Drosophila melanogaster: one gene and its partners. The protein of the gene in region 2 purifies or fractionates together with the protein of the main gene of each other region. This does not show direct contact. Each region holds a gene or a part of one and is shown on either strand. Other genes may lie near its edges.

Region 1 (7,111 bases), on a different chromosome or scaffold from region 2:
GTGTTCGCAGTAGTCGTACTAGCAAATTCGTAAAGGCGCAGGAATGATTTGCAATTAAGGGCGTTTTCAATGACCATTCCGAAGACTTACTTATTTGCATAACAGAAATGAACGGCTTGCTTAATCAGCAACACATTCGAACCCAAATAAAACTAATTTGTTTTACCCCGATCGTGTAGGTACTTGACGGCATGGCACATTTGGTAAAAGTAAAGCTTCGAGATGTCCTCGCTAAGTAGTTTGTTGCTGATGATCCGGTTAAGCAGGTCGCCGCCGCGCATAAACTCCAGCACCATATACACAGAATCCGGCTTGTCCACGATGTCGTGCATGCGAACCACGCACGGATGTGAAAGATTCTTCATAATCTTGGCTTCGTTCAGCACCCGGTCGGGATCACTGAAATTGGTACTGGGTCGCGCCCCAGAGAGCATATTCTTCTTAACGATTTTCATCGCAAACTGCTGGCAGGTGCGGGTGTCATAGACCAAACGCACCAGTCCGTACGCTCCAGATCCCAGCTTGCGATTTACATAATACGTCTTGTTAATCTCCTCGGGAAGCCCGATCGACTCATTCGGGCTGAGATCCTTGAATACAAAGGCTACAAGGGAGGGCAGGTGCAAAACATCAAATTACTTGCGAGTCCTTGTCGATAGCTATACCTGCTTGTCGATCGCTTACCTTTGTACGTTGGGTGGGACAGGGAAATTACGTCGTCATTCTTTAGGATTCGCATCCTGTTTGTGCCAATTTTCTCGTTATTCACAAACGTCCCGTTGCGTGAGAGATCCTGCGAAATGGGCGGAAACAAGGTTACTACATTTTAATAATATACGGAATTATACGGAATAGTAACTTCTTTTTGTAAATTAATTGTGGGAAATATTCAATATTGAAGTTACCTTTTTTGATAATCTCAACAAAACATAAATAAAACTTAATTTGAATTCTGCTCTTGTGGGTTCTGAATTTGCTATCTTTTTTTTCAAGGCTTCCTTCAGAGCTTTTGGGTTTGGAACTTCCACCTACCTGAATATAAACTGGATTGGTAAGTTCGCAGTTTGCCCGCTTTATGATAAAATGCACTTTGGAAATGCGCGTCAGGATTTTCTCGGGCAAATCGTTGAGCGTGAGGATCAAGTCGTTGGCCTCCCCTCGTCCTGCGGTGAACTCGTCGTTGTTGAGATCTGCAAACAGTTCAGCATGGGATCGTCATTAATACATGAGGAGCACACGCAATGGGGACACAAAACAGGAGGAAATGTGGTTACCAACAGAAAAGGACGAATGCGTATAAATGATTCGGTATTTTGAACTCGTACCCAGCGATTTGATCTTAATGTTCTTGCCGTACAATCGACCCCAGACTATCTTCTCCATCGGCTGGCTCTCCACCTGCGTCCAGATATTGGAGGCCTGACTCTGGGTTCCCTGCGTTCCTTGTGTGTCGCGTGCCATAGTGATTCCAAAACTCCGAAACTCCGTAGCCCCGTAATCTCGTATTCCTGCTATTCCGCAAGTCGAACTGGAAAACCCGTTAGGTTTGCCTGGAACTGCGTAAATTCGAAATGTCCAGTTACTCCAGCACTACCACAGGCAGAAATGCACACATACACGAGGAGTCCGATCTTCGGAAAAGCTATAGATCTATAGAAGCTATGGGTTTGAATCTCTGAGCGTTTCTTCTGCCCAATTCGATTACATCGAGCTTTTCGCACAGCGCTGGCTGATAGTTATTTAGAGTTTATCAGACGAAAACAACGAAAACTAACAAAAATCACGACATTGGTTCGATGTGAACTGCGCGAGGGACTACAATTTCTGCGGCAGTGTGTGTAAAAGTTGCCGCCTTCCAGGGATGGGGTGATTATCAGCGCCAGTGTTGGCAAGAGTCCCAAGGAAAAATTAAGGGTTTTTACAAATTAAATATTGCTTAGGTTAAGACTTTATTGTCAAAAGAAAAAATACTAATTAACTACCGGACTGAAAATTATATAAAAAACTAAAAGTATTGAAACAGATTAATTCCTTTACAGATCGTAGTTTCTTTAATATGGTACATGTATTTGAAATTTAACGGCCATCCATTGTTGAAATCCATTCAGCACTGGCAGGACCTGTGCAGCCCTGAACTTAAAGAAATTCCATTGTAAGCTATCGTGTTTTTATTCGATTTCGAAGCTTTAAGGTGTAAATTAAGTTTGTTTATTTCATTTTTCTCATATGATAAAATTATGTATCATGTTTATACTAGTTAATTATATTCCGCAATACTTTATAGCTAATTCTTTAGCGATTTTCCTGTCCATATTATCTAGCTAGCTTGGCACACCTTTAGTTTTAACCAACACTGAAATGCAGCCCTAAATTGCGGCGTCGTTTGAAAGAAACTGTAAACTATTACCAATACCAGCGCAAAAACAGAAATAGACAAAATACAATCAACAAATCATCAAAAAACAAAAAATTCAAAACTGTCGAATTGGGATCACAGCTATTATTAAAAGTGAGTGTGCTTATTAACACTCTCCAAAACCATCAGCCTACGGCAACCAAAATTCCTTGTGCTGTTCTCTGACTTCATCTCTGATTTATCCACTTCCTTGAAAGGATGACTCTGCCCCGCTTAGAAACTCCGCTCAGGCGGTCCGCAGTAGGCAGTTACCAGGAGGGGGTGTCCCGCATGCTAACCCCCTTTAACGACGACGAGGCGGAAAGGCGGGAAGCCCGACGTCGCACGCTCCTTCAGCAGCATCACCGGTCGAGCACTCTGGAGTCCATCGAGGACAATGAGACCATCAAAAATTGCTTGGAGCTCTACAATGGCAACAAGGTGAGCAAGGACAACGCCTGGAACCTGATGCTCATCGATTCGTTGGCCAATTTGCTGGATCACCATCACAAGCGCATGAGCAACTTCAAGGTGGGTTTTGCCTCATTCAGTTTATGTAAATGTAATAATTTCATGATGTTATACCCTAGATGGCTGGTTCCTCTTTAGAAGCCTCTTCCAAGGTTTACGGCCTGCGTGTGGACTCCATCTACTTGGACGCCATGCGCATTTCAGCTGGCTTGAGTGCACGAACTCTTACGGATAAGCAAATAAATGCTGCCGAGGATGATGATGGCCCCCAAGGTGAACAGGCTACTGGCGAGGGTCAGGACTCAGCGCAACAGGCAGCAAAAGAAGCAGCACCGAAGCCCAAACGGCAAAAGAAACCCATATCCACCGTGACCAAAAACAGAGAAACGCTGAACAGCCGGCTGGATACGGCTCCCTTGCAGGATCCTGTGTTTGGCAAGCTGAACTCCACTGTGGGCTCTATAAATGCTTCCAATCGTCTGATGCACAACATTCTTCCTAGTTTCGACTCTGAATTGCGCTTGCGTACCACCTACAATTTTTGGAACAGCGAAGAGTCCACCGAGGAGGTCCAGGACCACACTACACTCAATGCAGAAATGGAACAATGGCCAGCCACATCACTTATGAGCACCAATCTTATGCGCAAACTGCTGCCACATGCTGAAAGGTCAAATCTGCGACCGCTGCATACGGGCTACATCATCACAAGTGCTCCCAATCCCAAGTCGGCAAATGAAAAGGCCGCCGAGGTAGTGCAGGATGAAGATCATGACGAGGGTCTGGATAATGCCGACGATATGTGTGTAAATGAGATTTCCATGGCCTTTGACATCAATGCCGAGTGTGAGCCCATGCCGGACCTGGATGGACCACCGCCTCTGGTGCTGGAGGTGGACTCCAATGAGCTGGAAGAGCTCACTGCCGAGGAGCAAATGGTGATCAATAATTGCCGTCGGCTACGTAAGCAGACAGAGTTCATCGAGGATTTGCGACCGGTAGACGGGAATTCCAAGCTAGAGTACTCCTACAGGCCGATGGACCAGATCTCCCAGTTTTGGGCCGGCCCCTCGCATTGGAAGTTTAAGCGGACTCGCCCGCGCAGCACTTTCTCGCAGACCAATGGACAGGTGGACACTCAGCCTATTCGCACTCAACGAGCGAAGAAGTCAGCGCATCTGAATGCCAACCGAAGAGCCAAGGCTTTGGACTATGGCAATGTGACGGAAAACTTCTTCCAACAGCTGGACACCACCATAAGGCAGCGCAAGGCGAATTTCCAAAAGAAGTGGGATCCCCGAAAGCTGATATTGCCCACCAAGTTCGAATTGGACCCGGATCTTTTCTTCAAGTACGAATCCGCTCCCAGCATAAAGTTGTCGAAACGCGCAGGTGAACCTGATTCGGATGAGGGTGGAGATCTTGGCATCGATATGGATGCGGATATGCACCACGATGATGACAATGACCAGGAGCTATTCAACAACGAGCATTTTACCGACGCCGTTCCCGCCAACGTGAGCGTTATTGCCGCGATTGCTGCGGAGCAAGCGGCCGAGGCAAGCATGATGAACGTGTCCGCGGGTGAGATTGGCCTCACCCAGATGAACGCCACTTGCAACAACACAGTCTTCGAGATCGGCACCGAGTTCGAGGGTGCGCCGTCGCAGGTGAGTCTTCACTATAAAATCATATATACATACCTGGTATTCTAAAAACCATATAAAATAATTTACTTGCAGGTTGCCAAAGTGATTGTTCCATTCGCGAAGAGAGCCAAGGTTATAGACATGAAGAATCTGAAAAAGTCCTGCAACTCTCTAATACAGAAACAATTGCTAAACGCTGTGCCGGAGGAGACGATACCCTCGCATCCCAAGAAAAAGGGCGAACACTATTCAAAGGGTTTCGCGAGTTTTCAGCAGGTGTATCAGAAGCTGCCCGACCTTTTGACCACCAAAATGTCAGACTCGCTGTCCCCGTCGGTGGCATTCTATGCGGTTCTGCATTTGGCCAACGATTTGAAACTGCGGCTAATTCCGCAGGAGGACTTGGAGGACTTTCAAATTCGCCAGGTGTTGGATTGAATTTCTTTAATTATTTTTCAATTCATAGTTCTAGTTGCCCTTAAATGCTGTTACAATTTATTTTCACGGCTACTCCTTAATCTCTTACCTCTATTTTTAACTCCCAATTCGTATCAGTATTCTGAAACAGATATCCTCACCCCAGTCGAATTTTATACACAAACGAAGCATTGTTCTGATTTAAACACTAGTTAGTAAACAATAAATTAGGAAATATCTAAGAAAATTTCGCTGTTTTAATGGGGTATAATAAACTGGTGAAATTTTCTCAATTGGTAAACACGTATTTATGGCAAAACGGCATCAAAAAAATCTGTAATTTAAACGCCGCAGAAAAGAATTAAAACTTTCGCATTAGTTTTGGCTGTTTATATTCTGCTGGCGGCTCAGACAGAAGGGAAAGTAGTTAACATTGTTTTTCGTTTCTGTTGCTCTTTCATTTGCATACTTGTGTTGGTGCACACTGACAGAAATGATTTCGAGAACAATTTTAATAAGAAACCTCGATTATTTTAATATTTTTAACATCTGCCGAGTAACAGGTATTTTAAAACCAAAAAATAAATAAAAAAATGGGTAAAAAATTGTTTAATTTATATGGTAAAATGTTGCTTGTTTACCACTGAAGAATTCGCGATTTGAAGCTTTTCCGGCGGATATAACTGTTTACAGTGTAGAATGGAGAAAAAAGGAATGGAAATCCTAAGGCGTTTTTAGTTGCAAGTGGTTTTTGTCGCCTCCTGAAGAGGATTTTCCTTCTGCATCTGTGTTTGTGGGGCACACATGTGTGTGTGTGTGTGTGTGTGTGTGTTGGCTGCTGGTGTGTTTGTGTTTGTTGGAAAACTTCGGTGTTTACAGAGCGCTTTTAGGCGCCGTTTGCGTGTGTGTGTAATTGCATATTATTTGCATAAATATTTGCGAAGTATACTAAGTAACGTTAACGTTGGCGTCTACCGATTACACTCTGTACATATGCGAGAAAAAAACAAAAACGAAAACATCAACAACCAGATCATTCGAAAACGTTTCGCAAAACTTTTGACATTAGCGAATGACACTGAACAAAGTTGTCAACTTAAAAGTTGATTCTAATCTGCATATGTTCAAATTGACGGTTACAAAAGGATAATTTCGATGAGATTTCCATGTTTGCCTTAAACTTAAACTATTTTTAAGTTTTTGGCTGAAAGTAATAAAACTAAACAAAAAATCTGTGAAATTTCTGGAAAATGTAGTGGGTTTTGCGCTTGTTATGTATGTTCTTATCGTTGTAACCAGGTTCCGTGAAAAAGTTTCCCCTGCTCATATGTTTTTCAGTTTTCAAGGGAAATCCAAACATTTCAAATTCCATTTCAGTAGCAGACACTGTTGTTGAATAATTCGAGAGCATGCATTTTGAATATAATGACTTTTGCACAGTGAAAATTAAACGTATTATGCTAACCCGTTAGCCGCCCACCAAAATTTTATCCCCGTAAAGTGCAATTTCGTGTTAAATTTTCAATGCCTGCATGAAATTAACCGAAATAATGTTTCATGTGCGGATTTATAACCATTTTAGGCAACCCACATTCCGGCACATTAGAGTTGAAAAGTTAATTATCAGAACAAACATCAACAAAGAGTTTCACCTGGTGGAAATGGGTGCTCTGGAGGATGTGGCAACCGAGTTAATGGCGATGACTGTAATCACACAACAGGTGGGAGGCCAAATGTCCTTGGCTTGATTATTCCCCCGCCCACCATTTCCCATTTCCCAGCTGCCATTGTCATTGCCATCAGAGTTTTTGTTTCTTGTTTGGCTTTCGGTTTGGTTTAATTTTCTTGAATTTGTTGCTTAATTCCCAAGTTGATAATTGCCGGCAGTTTTAGTTGATACACGAAATAGTTATGACCGACAATTTTAAAAAGTTTGATCCTGATATAGAATGAAGAGGTATATCGAAAAAAACTAATAGCTTCAGTCAATCAATCAATCAACCCTCCTAAAAAGTAGTGAGAAGAGCAAGTTGTTTTAAGTTTTTTACTCCATCTGAGTTATTTATTTGTTGCATAGATCGAGTAAAATATGGTTGCTTTTAATTATTCCTGCTCTTTTATTTACATTCATGATATTACACTCAGTTAAAGGTATATATGCGCATATACTGATATATAT
Region 2 (7,439 bases):
AAAAAGCTAATCGGAATGAAAACATTTGTGGGGCTCAGCGACGTTGTTGTTGGATGAGGTGGGAAGAGTAAGAAGAAGACCAACAAGAGCCCAAAGCAACGCACACATACTACAAATGGTGCATGCACACACGCACGGGCTGGCACAAAATGAAAAATGAAATGACAAAGACAGGCACAGTGGGTCATGAGTGGTGGATATTTGAAACATTAATAAACTTAAAACTTAATAAATCAACTCAATACGTATGTCTATTATATAATTCTATTTTACTAAACGTTTTCATTTTACTTATCGTAACATTGTTTATATGTATAAAAAGTTTGGAAAAATTGCTGTTCTAAAAAATTGACCCACTGTACTCTTGGTTCTCAAACTGCAACTGTAAAGCAATCCAATAATAATGGATCGCTTACCACTGTTCAATGGGGTGGAGAGAATAAGATTTCGCTCTGCCTCTGCGCATACGCTATCCTCCCCTTCTCAACCGACACACCCGTGTGTTACTGACAAGCACAACTAATAATAAGGTAAAGCCGATCCGACCCGATCTGATGTGAAAAAGAAGGAATGAGAAAGGAGGTAGAGGTAGGAAGGTAGTCGTAGTGGTGGTGGTTGTGATGGCACGAAAAAAGAAGATGAAGTATAGCAACAATCGTTGTCGAGTCGGGCCGGGCGGTAGACATTCGAGTGTACACACATAAAACTGGCTTCGCGCGTATTTATGTATGTACATACCCGGTACCCACAAAGTAAAAGGGTATACTGGGCACTTGGTTTTAACTGGAATTTGTGTTAGTAGTCAGCACCAATAACTTACAAATAAATATTTAAGAAGGGTTTTCATTTTAAGGATACGACTGAAGTTAGCGAGGAATGGTATATGAAAAAGGGGTATTTGAAAGTCGAGTCACCAGACCATGTTATGTTTTCAGCAACGGAAGGGGGCTTTCAGTCGGGGTGGTTGAGCACGCATACACATGCCCGCCAGCTGTAGTCTTCCTGTTTTTTTTACTCGTTTTGGTTTTGCTTTGTCAAACGAACTGCTGCCGTTTCATTCCAACCCCAAGCGAACGCACGGCATCCCTCTCGCACGCGCTAACTGGCCAGGGCCACTCCTAGTGGCGTCGCACTCGCACCCGTGCATTTCGGTATAGAGAAAAGTTATTAGTCGCAACGGCATCTGAGAAGAGAGAAGCGGATCCAGCTGCACACCAACACACACACATATTCAGCGCACATGCGCTCATTTTGTTTCCGATCCGAACGAAAAGTAGAGTTGTCGCTGTGGCGCGCGGTTCAGTTTGAAACTTAACTTGGCGGTGTACGGTTCTTGCGCTCTGCTCTCTCTGCGTTCGTGTTGGTGTGGTGTCGTATGTGTCGCATACCGCATCGCATGTGTATTGAACGAAGAAAAAACCCGCCGACGCGACATACTCACTGGATACCCTGCAAATTTGTTAAATTTTTTTCAAAAAGAGCTAACGGTGCTGTTGATTAGCTAGTGCAGATGTGCAGACATAAAAAGTGATGCCGCGCCACAGTGGAGCCCCTAGCTGGCGAATCGTCGCTGGCGACGTAGGCAGTGCAGTTAAAACAAGTACTTAGTGCTGTGACTGTGGCTTAATTTTATGTAAGATCGCGTGCACAGGTGCTTAGTCGTTACACTGAGAAAAAGAAAAGTGCCTGCAGCCAGCGGGGAGAAGTTGAAGTGGAGTGACTGTGAGTGGAGGTTGTACTAATTACTACTGCCCGTGCACGAAACACTCATTTACACGCAAGCACACACACACACACACACACACACGAGACACTGGGACTTTTGTCGGATTTTCGTATTCGTTTTGTGTACTTTTGTTGTCTTGCGTTCCACGTTACATACATATGTATATGTTTGGTGTTGCCTGTTGTATGTTTATATTTATTGCCTTCACACATGTGCGTGTTTGTTAATGTACAATATAATACGGCAAATAGCAAAAAGAGAAGAAACTGAGGACTAAAAAGAAAGCGCCATGCCGACTATAACAAAAACAACCACGAGTGTCTCCGCCGCCGCCGAAAACAAAAACAAAACGCCTAAGCCGACGCATGCATACCTATAATTTATTATAAATATTGTTTTTATTTTGAATAATGGATCGTCGTGCATTGAAGTTTATGCAAAAAAGGTATTTTTTGTTTAGTTTGGTTTTATTTTTATCACTGCTTTTGTACTGCCTGCACTTGTGCTTTTTGTTTACAATTTTTGGTTTAATCTGCTCTTGAGCATTGGATATTGATTCTATATCGTATTCGGATAATAATGACACGTTAATCATAATGCTCGTAAAAATGCAGCGAGTGGATATTCTGTGCTCTCTGTCATCATAAAATGCGCTCGACTGGCGGGCCAAGAAAAGAAAATAAATTCATGAAACCCAAAACGAGTTTCCCCTCCGTCGCCCTCTCCGCCATTCATCATCCAACCGACACACGCCCCCCGCTGTGCGGTGTTGTTGCATTTTTAACAACGAATTTCGCAATGCATGCCCGTGTCTGCATTTGTGTGTGTGCGTCGGCTGGTGGTGGTTGATTTCTCCGTCTCTCCGTGCAACCCTCTCTCACTCGCGCAACAAAGCAACATAAAGAAAACAAAAGTTCTATATCGAAAGGTATCAGTTTTTGTTGTTGCTGCGGCAACCCTGCTTACATTTTGCTTTACTCTGCCGAAATAAACAGTCTAGGGTTGTCAGCTGTAACGAATCTGAGAAATCTGTGTTCCGGTTTAACGAAGATTCAATTTTATTGAATACTTTTATATTTCTTACAGTCCGTTATCACTGAATGCTAATTTTTACCTACAAACTTAAATTGTTCGTGGCAAGAAAATAAACCAGAATGATTAAATTATTTTAGACTCGTTTAAAGCACAACAGTTTTTGTAAATAAATAGTTGACAACTCTGTTTACACCTACGCTACACCGCACTCGCTCTGAGTTTATGTGACTGTGTGTACGGCCTGGCCATAGCCTCATCTCGTTCACTCACATTTGTTTCATCTTCTTCGATTGCAGAACTCGTTTGTGTATCAATCAATAGGCTGTCAAGGCCCCCCCCCTCCTCGCTCGCTCCCGCGCATTTTGCACGCCCGAATCCACTGGAGGTGATGTTTGATTTGAGCGCGACCTTTCCCCCGCACCCCTATCGGCGTGTCTGTGTGTGTGTGTGCTGCCCCGCATTTTGATCATTCCTTTCCCACCGCTACTGCTTTCCCCCCGATTGCAAGCAGGCTGTTTTACGGGGGTTCTCACACACTCGAGCTCGAATGTATGTACCCTACTCCATGGCGACATGGAAACCAGTCTTTTTTTTTCTCTCAAGAGGTTTTTCGCAGCGTGCGGCCGTGAGCTTAACTTACACACACTTGCACACGCGCACCCACCACCCTGTGGCGAGTATTCCACCCCTCTGGACCACCCACCCCATATTCCCTTTCTTTTACGGGGTAGCAGCGACATGAGGGTTGCCAAAATGCTTTTACCGGCTTTTATAACCCATTTCGCTCCTTTTTCTGTCTTTTTTGCACTCATGCTTTTTATGCTCTTGCTGTTTATGGGCCTTGCGGGCTTTTTGGGCGATGGAAAGGGGTGGGGATCAGGCTCTCTGGACTGCCGGGCATCACAGTCGCGGTCAATGCAATAGGACCTTGAAACCACGCTTCTCCAGTTAGATCATTCATAGTTGAACTATATCAGGGAACTGATTCAGGAAGTAATATTAGTTAATTATTTCTAGAAAAACATCCTTACCATGTGGAGTACTCAGCCATTTACGTTTGTCCACTAATCCTATTAGCTTGAGCACTACTGTATAAAACACTAACCATCTCGTGTTGCTCCCAACTGTCAGCATTTTTAGCATTTCGATGGAAAGGTCCTTGAACTTCGCCTGCAATTCGCATCGGCTTTATTGCCCTTTTACAATAATATCGAACGGTGCCAGCTGCGTGGCTAAATTAGTTTTCCGGGCTGTTGTTGTCGAACGTTGAACGTGGAAAACGAGTGCGACTACCATGCTGCTCATGGAAATTCGAAAACCCATAGATAAAGATCGATGTGAAATGCGAAGGCTGTCAGGCAGCTCCTTTCTCTTCATTCGTTGAATGCGAAAGTCCGTTAAGTAGTTGGCCAAATGTTCATTGTCGCTGAAAAAGGGCGGGTTCGGAAAAAGGTCCACAAAAAGAACGAATATTTTCGGGATAGGGATTGGGATCGGGATCGGGCTCGGGATCTCTACCTAAAAGTTAACCAGGGTACACAATTCTTAATTAGAAATTGAAATGACATGGTACATATCTTCAGGCTTGACCTTGTGATTAAGTCGGAACTATAGTTTTGATATTATCCCGAGTTAAAGGTGATCGTTACCTCAGAGTCATATTTACTTTTCCCGCGTTTGTTTCTGCCACTCTCGAAAGTCATCTTTTATGTTTACATTGTAAATATGATTATTTAATAAGAGCGTTTTTGTTTGCTAGTTCCCGCATTTGTCTCACACTTTTTTGAATGACTAAAACCAGATTTTTGTATTTACCAAGTAGCCATATTTGCTTAAACAAAAAAAAAAAAAAAAAAAACGGATATCACTTTGTTATAGCTCAAAGAAGCTGGGGTCGGAAAAATCGAATTTTTGAAATTTGAAAGCTGGAATCGTTTGCCCATTTTTTGCCCATGTTTGCCCACCAATTAGTTTTTTTTGCCCACGTCCAGTTTTTGAGATATGAATTTTCGAAAAAGTTCGAAAATTTTCGAAAATCAAAAATTTCGCTTTTTTCAAAATTTTTTTTTTTAAATCGCAATAACATCGTTTGCCCACGTTTGCCCACCCTTTAGAATTTTGAAAAAATTTATACTTTAGAAAATATAAGGCTTTTAAGTTTACCTCGGTCTAATCAGAGAGTAAATCGTTTGCCCATCTCTTAAAACCAAATATTATCAACAAAAAAGGTTTGCCCAACCATTATTATTAGTTTTTATCGTTTGCCCACCCTTTAAAAAACCTTTAACAAAAATTTTTTTTCGATTGCCCACATTTAAAATACACCCAATTTCGTTAGCCCACCTCTTTAAAATAAAAATTTCCAAAAAAAACGTTTGCCCACCATTTAAAACTAAATAATTTCGTTTGCCCATCCTTCAAAATTCATTTTTAACGTTTGCCCACCCTTTAAAAATAAATTATTTCGTTTGCCCACCCTTTAAAATTTGTTTTTTTCGTTTGCCCACTCTTAAAACTAAATAATTTCGATTGCCCACCTTTTAAAAGTAAATAATTTCGTTTGCCCATCCTTTAAAATTCATTTTTAACGTTTGCCCACCCTTTAAAAATAAATTATTTCGTTTGCCCACCCTTTAAAATTTGTTTTTTTCGTTTGCCCACTCTTAAAACTAAATAATTTCGATTGCCCACCTTTTAAAACTAAATAATTTCGTTTGCCCATCCTTTAAAAATAAATAATTTATTTTTAAAGGGTGGGCAAACGTTAAAAATGAATTTTGAAGGATGGGCAAACGAAATTATTTAGTTTTAAATGGTGGGCAAACGTTTTTTTTGGAAATTTTTATTTTAAAGAGGTGGGCTAACGAAATTGGGTGTATTTTAAATGTGGGCAATCGAAAAAAAATTTTTGTTAAAGGTTTTTTAAAGGGTGGGCAAACGATAAAAACTAATAATAATGGTTGGGCAAACCTTTTTTGTTGATAATATTTGGTTTTAAGAGATGGGCAAACGATTTACTCTCTGATTAGACCGAGGTAAACTTAAAAGCCTTATATTTTCTAAAGTATAAATTTTTTCAAAATTCTAAAGGGTGGGCAAACGTGGGCAAACGATGTTATTGCGATTTAAAAAAAAAAATTTTGAAAAAAGCGAAATTTTTGATTTTCGAAAATTTTCGAACTTTTTCGAAAATTCATATCTCAAAAACTGGACGTGGGCAAAAAAAACTAATTGGTGGGCAAACATGGGCAAAAAATGGGCAAACGATTCCAGCTTTCAAATTTCAAAAATTCGATTTTTCCGACCCCAGCTTCTTTGAGCTCTTTGTTATGTTAGTTTTCCATGATCATTAAATTTAATTTTTTAATGTTTAATTTAAGGGCCGTTTTCAAAACATCACGGCCAGTATAAATAATAATAACAAATAATGATGAGAAAGCTGACCTTATTTTTGGGTCAAGTCCGATTCTCAGCTGGGAGAGCTTGTTTTGCATGAGCGGGGAGGGGAGCAGGGGGCAGAACGGGGATGCTGACAACGTGTTTGCATTGCCTTCCTATTGTTTGTCGCTAGGACAAGAGAAGGCCATTAGGAACACTGTTTTTCCAGTTTGTTTGCGTGTGGTGTGGTCCGAAATGACATTGCTCTTTTTTGCTGAGCAAATGTTTACTGATCGCCAAACTTCTCTTTTTCAATCCTCAGAGCGGACACAGAAAGCGATACGACCACACCCGTGAGCACCACAGCATCCCAGGGGATTTCAGCATCAGCGATTCTAGCAGGAGGCACTCTTCCCTTGAAGGACAACTCGAACATCCGCGAGAAGCCCCTCCACCATAACTACAACCACAATAACAACAACAGCTCCCAGCACTCACACTCGCACCAGCAGCAGCAACAACAGCAGGTGGGTGGCAAGCAGCTCGAGCGGCCACTAAAGTGCCTGGAAACGCTCGCCCAGAAGGCGGGAATCACCTTCGACGAGAAATACGATGTGGCCAGCCCCCCGCATCCCGGCATTGCCCAGCAGCAGGCGACTTCAGGAACAGGCCCAGCAACGGGATCAGGCTCAGTCACCCCCACAAGCCATCGGCACGGAACTCCGCCCACGGGCCGCAGGCAAACCCACACCCCAAGCACTCCGAACAGGCCCAGTGCTCCCAGCACACCCAACACTAACTGCAACTCAATTGCCCGCCACACCAGCCTCACGCTGGAGAAGGCGCAGAATCCCGGCCAGCAGGTGGCCGCCACCACCACGGTGCCACTGCAGATATCCCCTGAGCAGCTGCAGCAGTTCTATGCGAGCAATCCCTACGCCATTCAGGTGAAGCAAGAGTTTCCCACGCACACGACCAGTGGCAGTGGAACTGAACTAAAGCATGCAACCAACATTATGGAAGTTCAGCAGCAGTTGCAGCTGCAGCAGCAGCTGTCGGAAGCCAACGGTGGAGGAGCAGCCTCGGCCGGAGCCGGAGGAGCAGCTAGTCCGGCCAACTCGCAGCAAAGCCAGCAACAGCAGCACTCCACAGCCATCAGCACCATGTCGCCGATGCAATTGGCAGCGGCCACTGGAGGAGTTGGCGGGGATTGGACACAGGGAAGGACGGTGCAGCTAATGCAACCCTCCACCAGTTTCCTGTATCCCCAAATGATTGTGTCGGGAAATCTGTTGCATCC
Region 3 (6,681 bases), on a different chromosome or scaffold from region 2:
GGAATTTGGTTATCTATTATAAAATGGATCCATATTTTAAAATGTTAACAAAGGGTAATGCGCTTATACAAAGTATGAGGAAAGTTTGCGAAAGACTTCATAGCTTTGAAGAGCAATGTAGTCTAGTTTTAGATAATATGCAAAGTCAGTTATCGGAACTTGAAGAAAACAATAAATTGTTTATGATACAGTCTAGATCTAGAAGCAAGCGTGCTCCTTTCGAATTTATGGGTTCCTTGTATCATATTTTATTTGGTATAATGGATGAAGATGATAGAGAGCAATTAGAAGAAAATATGAAGAATTTGTTAGATAACCAGAACAACCTTGATAAACTAATTCAAAAACAAACATCTGTGGTTGATTCAACTTCTAATCTATTAAAGAGAACAACAGAAGATGTTAACTCCAATTTTAGAAGTATGCAAATAAGAATTGAGAACATGACAGAAGTTCTTAAAGAAAATTATTATGTTTATAAGGAATCAATAAAATTCTTTATGATTACGAAACAGCTACACTCATTGATTGAAGAAGGCGAAAAAATTCAAGCAGGCATTATAAGCCTGTTGATTGATATTAATCACGGTAGGCTAAATACAAATATTCTCAGGCCAAATCAGCTTAAAAAAGAAATTGCCAAAATTCAGCAGAGTCTTTCGGAGAACCTAGTAATTCCAGGAAAACGGTCAGGTACGGAACTTAAGGAGGTGTATACACTGTTAACAGCCAGGGGTTTATTCATCGACGATAAATTGATCATTAGTGCAAAAGTGCCTCTGTTTAGCAGCATCCATCCAAATTGTTCAGGCTTATTCCGGTGCCAATTCGAAATGAAGATCGGATAATAATGGTGCATACAACGTCCGAATATTTAATTTATAATTTTGAGATAGATTCCTATCACATAATGACGGAAGCCACATTAAATCAATGTCAGAAATGGCAACTAAATAAGAGAATATGCAAAGGAAGTTGGCCCTGGAATTCAGCGAATGATAATGCATGTGAGATTCAGCCTCTAAAGCCAGATAAAGCGGCGAACTGCATCTATAAAACAGTAGTCGACTCTAAAAGTTACTGGGTAGAGTTAGAAAAGAAAAGTAGTTGGTTGTTTAAGGTTCCTGCGAATTCAAAAGTCCGTCTGCAATGTACTGGCTCTCAAATTGAATTGTTTGATTTGCCTCAGCAAGGAGTTTTAAGCATTGCGCCATATTGTACGGCAAGAACCGACGATAAAATTCTAGTTGCCCACCATAACATTCAGTCCGAAAGTGAAGAATTATTATCAACACCTTATATAGGAGAAGTTAGTGGAGTGCCGAAGATTATTTGGGATCCGCTGAAACTATCAATATTAAATCATACTGAGGAATTTGAACGATTGAATAATGAAATTAAATTTATGAAAGAGAACCATCAAAAATTGAAAGATTTACATTTCCATCATATTTCCGGACATGCTGGATTAATTATTGCTTTAATACTAATGATAGTATTAATAATATATTTCATACGGAAATGTGCTGTGCAACAAAGAATGCAAGCAATAACCTTTGCAGGTCCGTTGCCAGTACTATAAATATCAATAGTAAATAAACAATAAAATAATATAACAAATAAAAATATACAGTCCACTAATAGAAAATGTACTTCTACATAGAAAAAGCAAAATGTTTAAAATAAGTTAATTGAGTACAAATTGTTGAATTAAAAATAATATAAACCATAATTGTAATCCAATAAAATTAAAAGCCAGAAAAACTAGGCCCATTGAAATCTTAGTTGCAAAATAAATGAACATATATCAAATAAATACAGTCCACTACTGTTATAAATGCAACTAATATACTAATGTACATCTCAGCTTGCTGGCCCTTTGGCAGAATGTTCACACATGAACACGAATATATTTAAAGACTTACAATTTTGGGCTCCGTTCATATCTTATGTAAATGAATCGAGAGCGATAAATTATATTTAGGATTTTGTTATCTAAGGCGACATGGGTGCATTGCTCAAAAACATGTAATTTAAGTGCACACTACATGAGTCAGTCACTTGAGATCGTTCCCCGCCTCCTAAAATAGTCCCTTAGTGGGAGACCACAGATAAGGTCCTCGCCGCTCAAGATAGGCAGATGTGCCCGAGCGTGGGACCTCGATAAGGCGGGGACTATTTACTTAGGCCTCTGCGTAGGCCATTTACTTTAAGATGCGATTCTCATGTCACCTATTTAAACCGAAGATAATTCCAAATAAAATCAGTTTCTTACAAAAACTCAACGAGTAAAGTCTTCTCATTTGGGACTTTACAACTATATTAAAAAGCTTAAAATATACGCTTTGAATTGCTGTTTTGTGTGGAATTTACGCCGTAACTAAAACTAGCCAATAAAGAGCTAAGACAAATAGAAACATACGCACAGGACCCATGGGAAATAAGCAGGAGTTTGTAAATTCCCCGCAGCTCCCACGTAGTTTTCTGTTTCATAGCGTGAAAAAAAATTGTGAAATAGACATAGGATTTAAGTAATGAGTCTATGGGCTCGATTTGGAATTATCTGTGCACTGCACCGCTCTGAACCCATAAAGGCAGCACTTGAGTCTTGAATGACTGCTAAGAGAACATGTTAAAATAAATATTACGTAGAGATTTTGGTTAGCTAAAGTCTAAAAATATTTGTAAATCTACAATTGTATATATGTTTTTGGGGTTTTCTTTTGTAAAATCAGTCGGCGCGAGGAAATATAATATTAAACAATTACAACATTGGGATAGCCAACTCGGCAAACGTGGTGGTGACTACTCGAATATATGCATCTTCTATTGTATATATTTGTAAGCGTAATCAACAATTGCTTCGGTTTCGCATGGAGTTTTCTTAGCATTTGAGTGTCTTGTGTTGTTTTCAATCAGATTCAAAGTGTTATAAAAAATATACAATATGTGGTAAATATATGTAACATGTACATACATATTTATCTACGCTGCAAGTTTTACAATCTATTGCATTGGCAAGTTAAGCAGCCGCAGCATTTCGCCTATTCACTAAATGACAACCAGATTAATCTTAAAAAGTGATATTGCAGAAAAATAAATTTTTAATTTAAATAGGAAAATATTCAATCATTGCAATGCTGATAAAAAAAATGAGCGAAAATTTATGTATATATAAAGTCATTTAGTAAATACCCGACTTGCGCTTGCTTAAACTACTCTTGCACATTAAACATTGTAATAAAACAACAAACTAAAACCTACGCTAAAAATAAATACAATAAATTAGTTAAGTCCTAAAGAGAAAATGCTTAGCAACATTTAGTGTGGATTTCTCTGCATAATTCTTCTCTCAACTTTCTCGCATTTTGGTTTGTCTATTTACAATTGTATCAGTTTTCCGGTTTGTTTTCCCGACATTTGTTTGGGTCGAAGCTCAAGCTACTGGCGACGAATCGCCTTTCATGTCGCGCTCACGAAAAAACCCGCGCTCCGTCTTGCACTCGCGTATGGTAACGGTCTCCAGGTTTACGGTGACGTCTGTGATCACCACCCGGTTGGATATGTTGCATTTGGCCGGCAGCCAGAAGCGCGGCGGAAGGGCACGCGGCGAAAGAGGAGTAAGCGGCTGTTTCTGGTTGATAGCCAGGTTGTTGCACGGTTTTGGTATGTTATTGTTCTCGGAAGGAACCTGTGGCGCCTGTTGGTTGCCTTCCTCGTTGGCTACTTCTTCTTCCTCAGCTCCGGACTCTGCGGGCGTTGTGTTTATGGCTTCTGTGGCCAGTGGGGTGGCCTGCTGCTCAGATTTCAGCTGCGTTGCAGCCTCGCTGGCAATCTTTTCCGCTTGCTGCTGATCCTGGAAGGGCTGCTGCTGGCTGGGAGTTACCTGCTGGGTCGGCTGAGGCTTAATAGTGGGGCCATCTGGGGAGGTCTTAATCGTAACTCCAATCTTGCCCGATTCCTTGAGCACCTCGGCTTTGCGTTTGGTGCCGATCAGCGGCTGATCCTCGGAGCTGGAGGAGTTGCTGTCCGGCTCGGGGACAAATGAGTTGTGCGTGAAGCTGCTGTTCGAGGAGGAGCTGTGATCAATGCGCTGACGCTTGGACTCGTGGTGGTGGTGATGATGATGGTGGGTCAGCGGAGATTCCGAGCGCCGTCCACTGTTGCGTTCGGACTTGATGTGGTGATGATGGTGGTGGTGGTGATGGTGCTTCTTCTCCTTCTTCGACTCCTTATCGTGGGTAGCCGATGAGGTGGTGGCTTGATGCGTGTCCACATCGTTTTCGGTGAAGGTGTACTCATCCTCCTCGGATTCCGGCTCCGGATCGGGTTCTTTCTCCTTCTTCTTAATGCCTCGCTTGGAGGGAGTTCCGGAGGATTTGTTCGTTTGTTCGTAGATGTCGATGAGGCGGCGATCCAGGATGTTTACCTCCGGTTCCCAGGTGTTGTAGCGCTGGTTCCAGCCCTTCCACTTGACACGGTACTCCACGACGCCCTGGAAAATCGAGTAAGTGAAGGAGTGGGGGTGGATTGCATTTTCTTAGACAACTAATTGATTTTCCATTCAGCGAAACAAAAACACGCCTCACATACACACACACACACATACGAACGCACTACGCACACACACATGCATCGTGCAAATGGTGGTTGCAGCAGCAGATGTCCTCTGGCCAAAAAATGTCGAAGGACATGTGACCTTGTGGACTATACATATATCCTGCGTGTGCTGCGCATATTGCATTTGCCATTTTTAGCGGAGCATCCCGTTTTGGTCGCCTTTTTCGAATTTGTTTACGCTCATCTCACCTTCTTAACGCGCTTTTGGATGATTTTCTCAGCCGCGTACACTAGATCGACTGGATCGTCGGTCGCATTGTCGCGCCCCAACTTCCCCTTACTCCCCTTGCCTCGACCAGTCATTTTTAATTAATAATCTTCTCGGAACGTTTTATTATTCGTTTTATTTGCAATTAACTTCTGGTTTACAATTCTGCGTACGTCGATAGTCGTCCGACTCGATTATTTTCATGTAAACAATCGATAGTGCTGCGAGGTGCAGAGTTACCGTGCTACAAAGAACTGGGATCATATCTTAGCAAGTAGCCGTGTCGCACACCCTTTCCTGGCAAAATTAGCAAAGACTCAAAACTTTGATGACTAGACACACCTAATTGTGCGTTTTTAAAATGTAAATGTTTTGTTAAAATATTTTCAGAATTTCTTGACATTTTTCTATTATTTATAAATGGGGTATATAAATGTTTTAGAAAACATTTTTTTGGCGCTGTTGCCTTATACACTATTTTCTTTTATCGTTTCTACAAATTACTAAACCGGCGAGAAGTTAAACCAATTAGCTTAAATATAAAATAGCTTTTAATCAAATTTTAATAAGCGCATTTTTAATGAATCCTTTGTACAGTATTCTTTTTAAACTGCATGTTGAATTGAATTCCAGGTAACGAAATATTATACTTTCGTTAACGTTTATCGTTGTGTTGCTTTCATCCCATATTGAGTTTTGATTTTCCTTTGTCCTGCTTCACTTATTGTATCACAAATTGCCACATATACTTCGCCCCATATTCCTATTCAATTAAGTTTGATAATTAACTTGATTACAACTGAACTAGTTACCCTCTTCGAACTCTTCAAATGCCACATCCTCAAGAGGGAGAGAAAGTGCGGGAGAGAGTGTGAGAAAGCACAAGAGCGCCGAAAGCTCAGGATGGATGTGAAAGGAAGTGGCCGACTGCAGATATTTTATGCCAGTTGTATGTTGGCCGAGGGTTCGCGTGGCGGGGGCGGCAACGACGATGACATTATTTTATTTATGCTGTGATAGTGAAATAACAACAACACCAAGACCAACAACTGAAATAACACCCATTCCCTTGAAATCAATCGCAATATTTTCGACGAGGGACGCGAAACGCATGGAGAATCTTCACACTTAACGACGAAAACGAGAAATTAACCAAAAGCTTTAACCAAAACATAAAGAAAAACACCAAGCAAATTGTTGCGAACCCTATAAATAGATTAATGTTTAATTCATAGTGAAAACAGCACCAATTAGCGCATAACCTATAAAATATTAGTCAATATGTTTAGCTAGTTACAATTTACATAGATGATATTTAATTAGTGGCTTCAAACAAAACACCAAGCAACCAAACAACCGAACAAAAAAGGGGAAAAACCAATACCTAGTTCAATTGTACGGAGCGAAAAACTAACGAATAGCGATTAGGAAAACTGGCCAACTGATAAGGCTGGCGAAAATATTAAGCTTATAGCATATAGGAAATAATAATAGCAACGGCAAACCACCCCATCTCCAGGCGAAAGCCCCGAATAGCGGATTCATTCAGAAAAACGTGCCACACAACCGGACGGGAGCGACGGACAACGGTAAATGTCAAAGTCATAAAGAGAAAACTCGGAAATGCCGATGAGAGAAAGCTCAGAGAAAACGTCAAAACTATGAGAGGCGATAAAAGCTAGCCAGTTACAGTTATATTGGGAGAAGCAATGCCAAGTGTCAAAATCGCAAAGAGAAAGTAACAAAAGAGAGACACAGCTTAACGAAAACTTCCGGTTATTTTTTAACCAGTAGATTGAGCATTACGGCCATATATTAACGCAAACAGGACAATGGAATAGCTTGTATTTATC

What was found. The genes of interacting proteins can lie anywhere in the genome.
Region 1: the proteins of ph-p (region 2) and barr purify together in Drosophila melanogaster (affinity purification with western blotting, with the first as the bait; one study listed by BioGRID). This does not show direct contact.
Region 3: the proteins of ph-p (region 2) and Pc purify together in Drosophila melanogaster (affinity purification with western blotting; 18 studies listed by BioGRID, with this or other methods). This does not show direct contact.

Annotation. Positions count from the first base shown.
Region 1 is NT_033779.5:20,056,227-20,063,337, reverse strand, and holds barr (barren), read left to right. Parts: upstream 1-1,967; 5' UTR 1,968-2,152; intron 2,153-2,321; 5' UTR 2,322-2,614; coding exon 2,615-2,926; intron 2,927-2,985; coding exon 2,986-4,536; intron 4,537-4,608; coding exon 4,609-4,953; 3' UTR 4,954-5,175; downstream 5,176-7,111. Other genes in the region: lok (loki), read right to left, coding at 167-604, 685-793, 1,033-1,190, 1,275-1,461.
Region 2 is NC_004354.4:2,130,749-2,138,187, reverse strand, and holds the start of ph-p (polyhomeotic proximal), read left to right. Parts: upstream 1-1,565; 5' UTR 1,566-2,136; coding exon 2,137-2,171; intron 2,172-6,461; coding exon 6,462-7,439. UniProt on the Drosophila melanogaster protein: Polycomb group (PcG) protein. PcG proteins act by forming multiprotein complexes, which are required to maintain the transcriptionally repressive state of homeotic genes throughout development.
Region 3 is NT_037436.4:21,312,988-21,319,668, forward strand, and holds the start of Pc (polycomb), read right to left. Parts: upstream 5,034-6,681; 5' UTR 4,924-5,033; coding exon 4,810-4,923; intron 4,496-4,809; coding exon 3,437-4,495; 3' UTR 2,319-3,436; intron 1-2,318.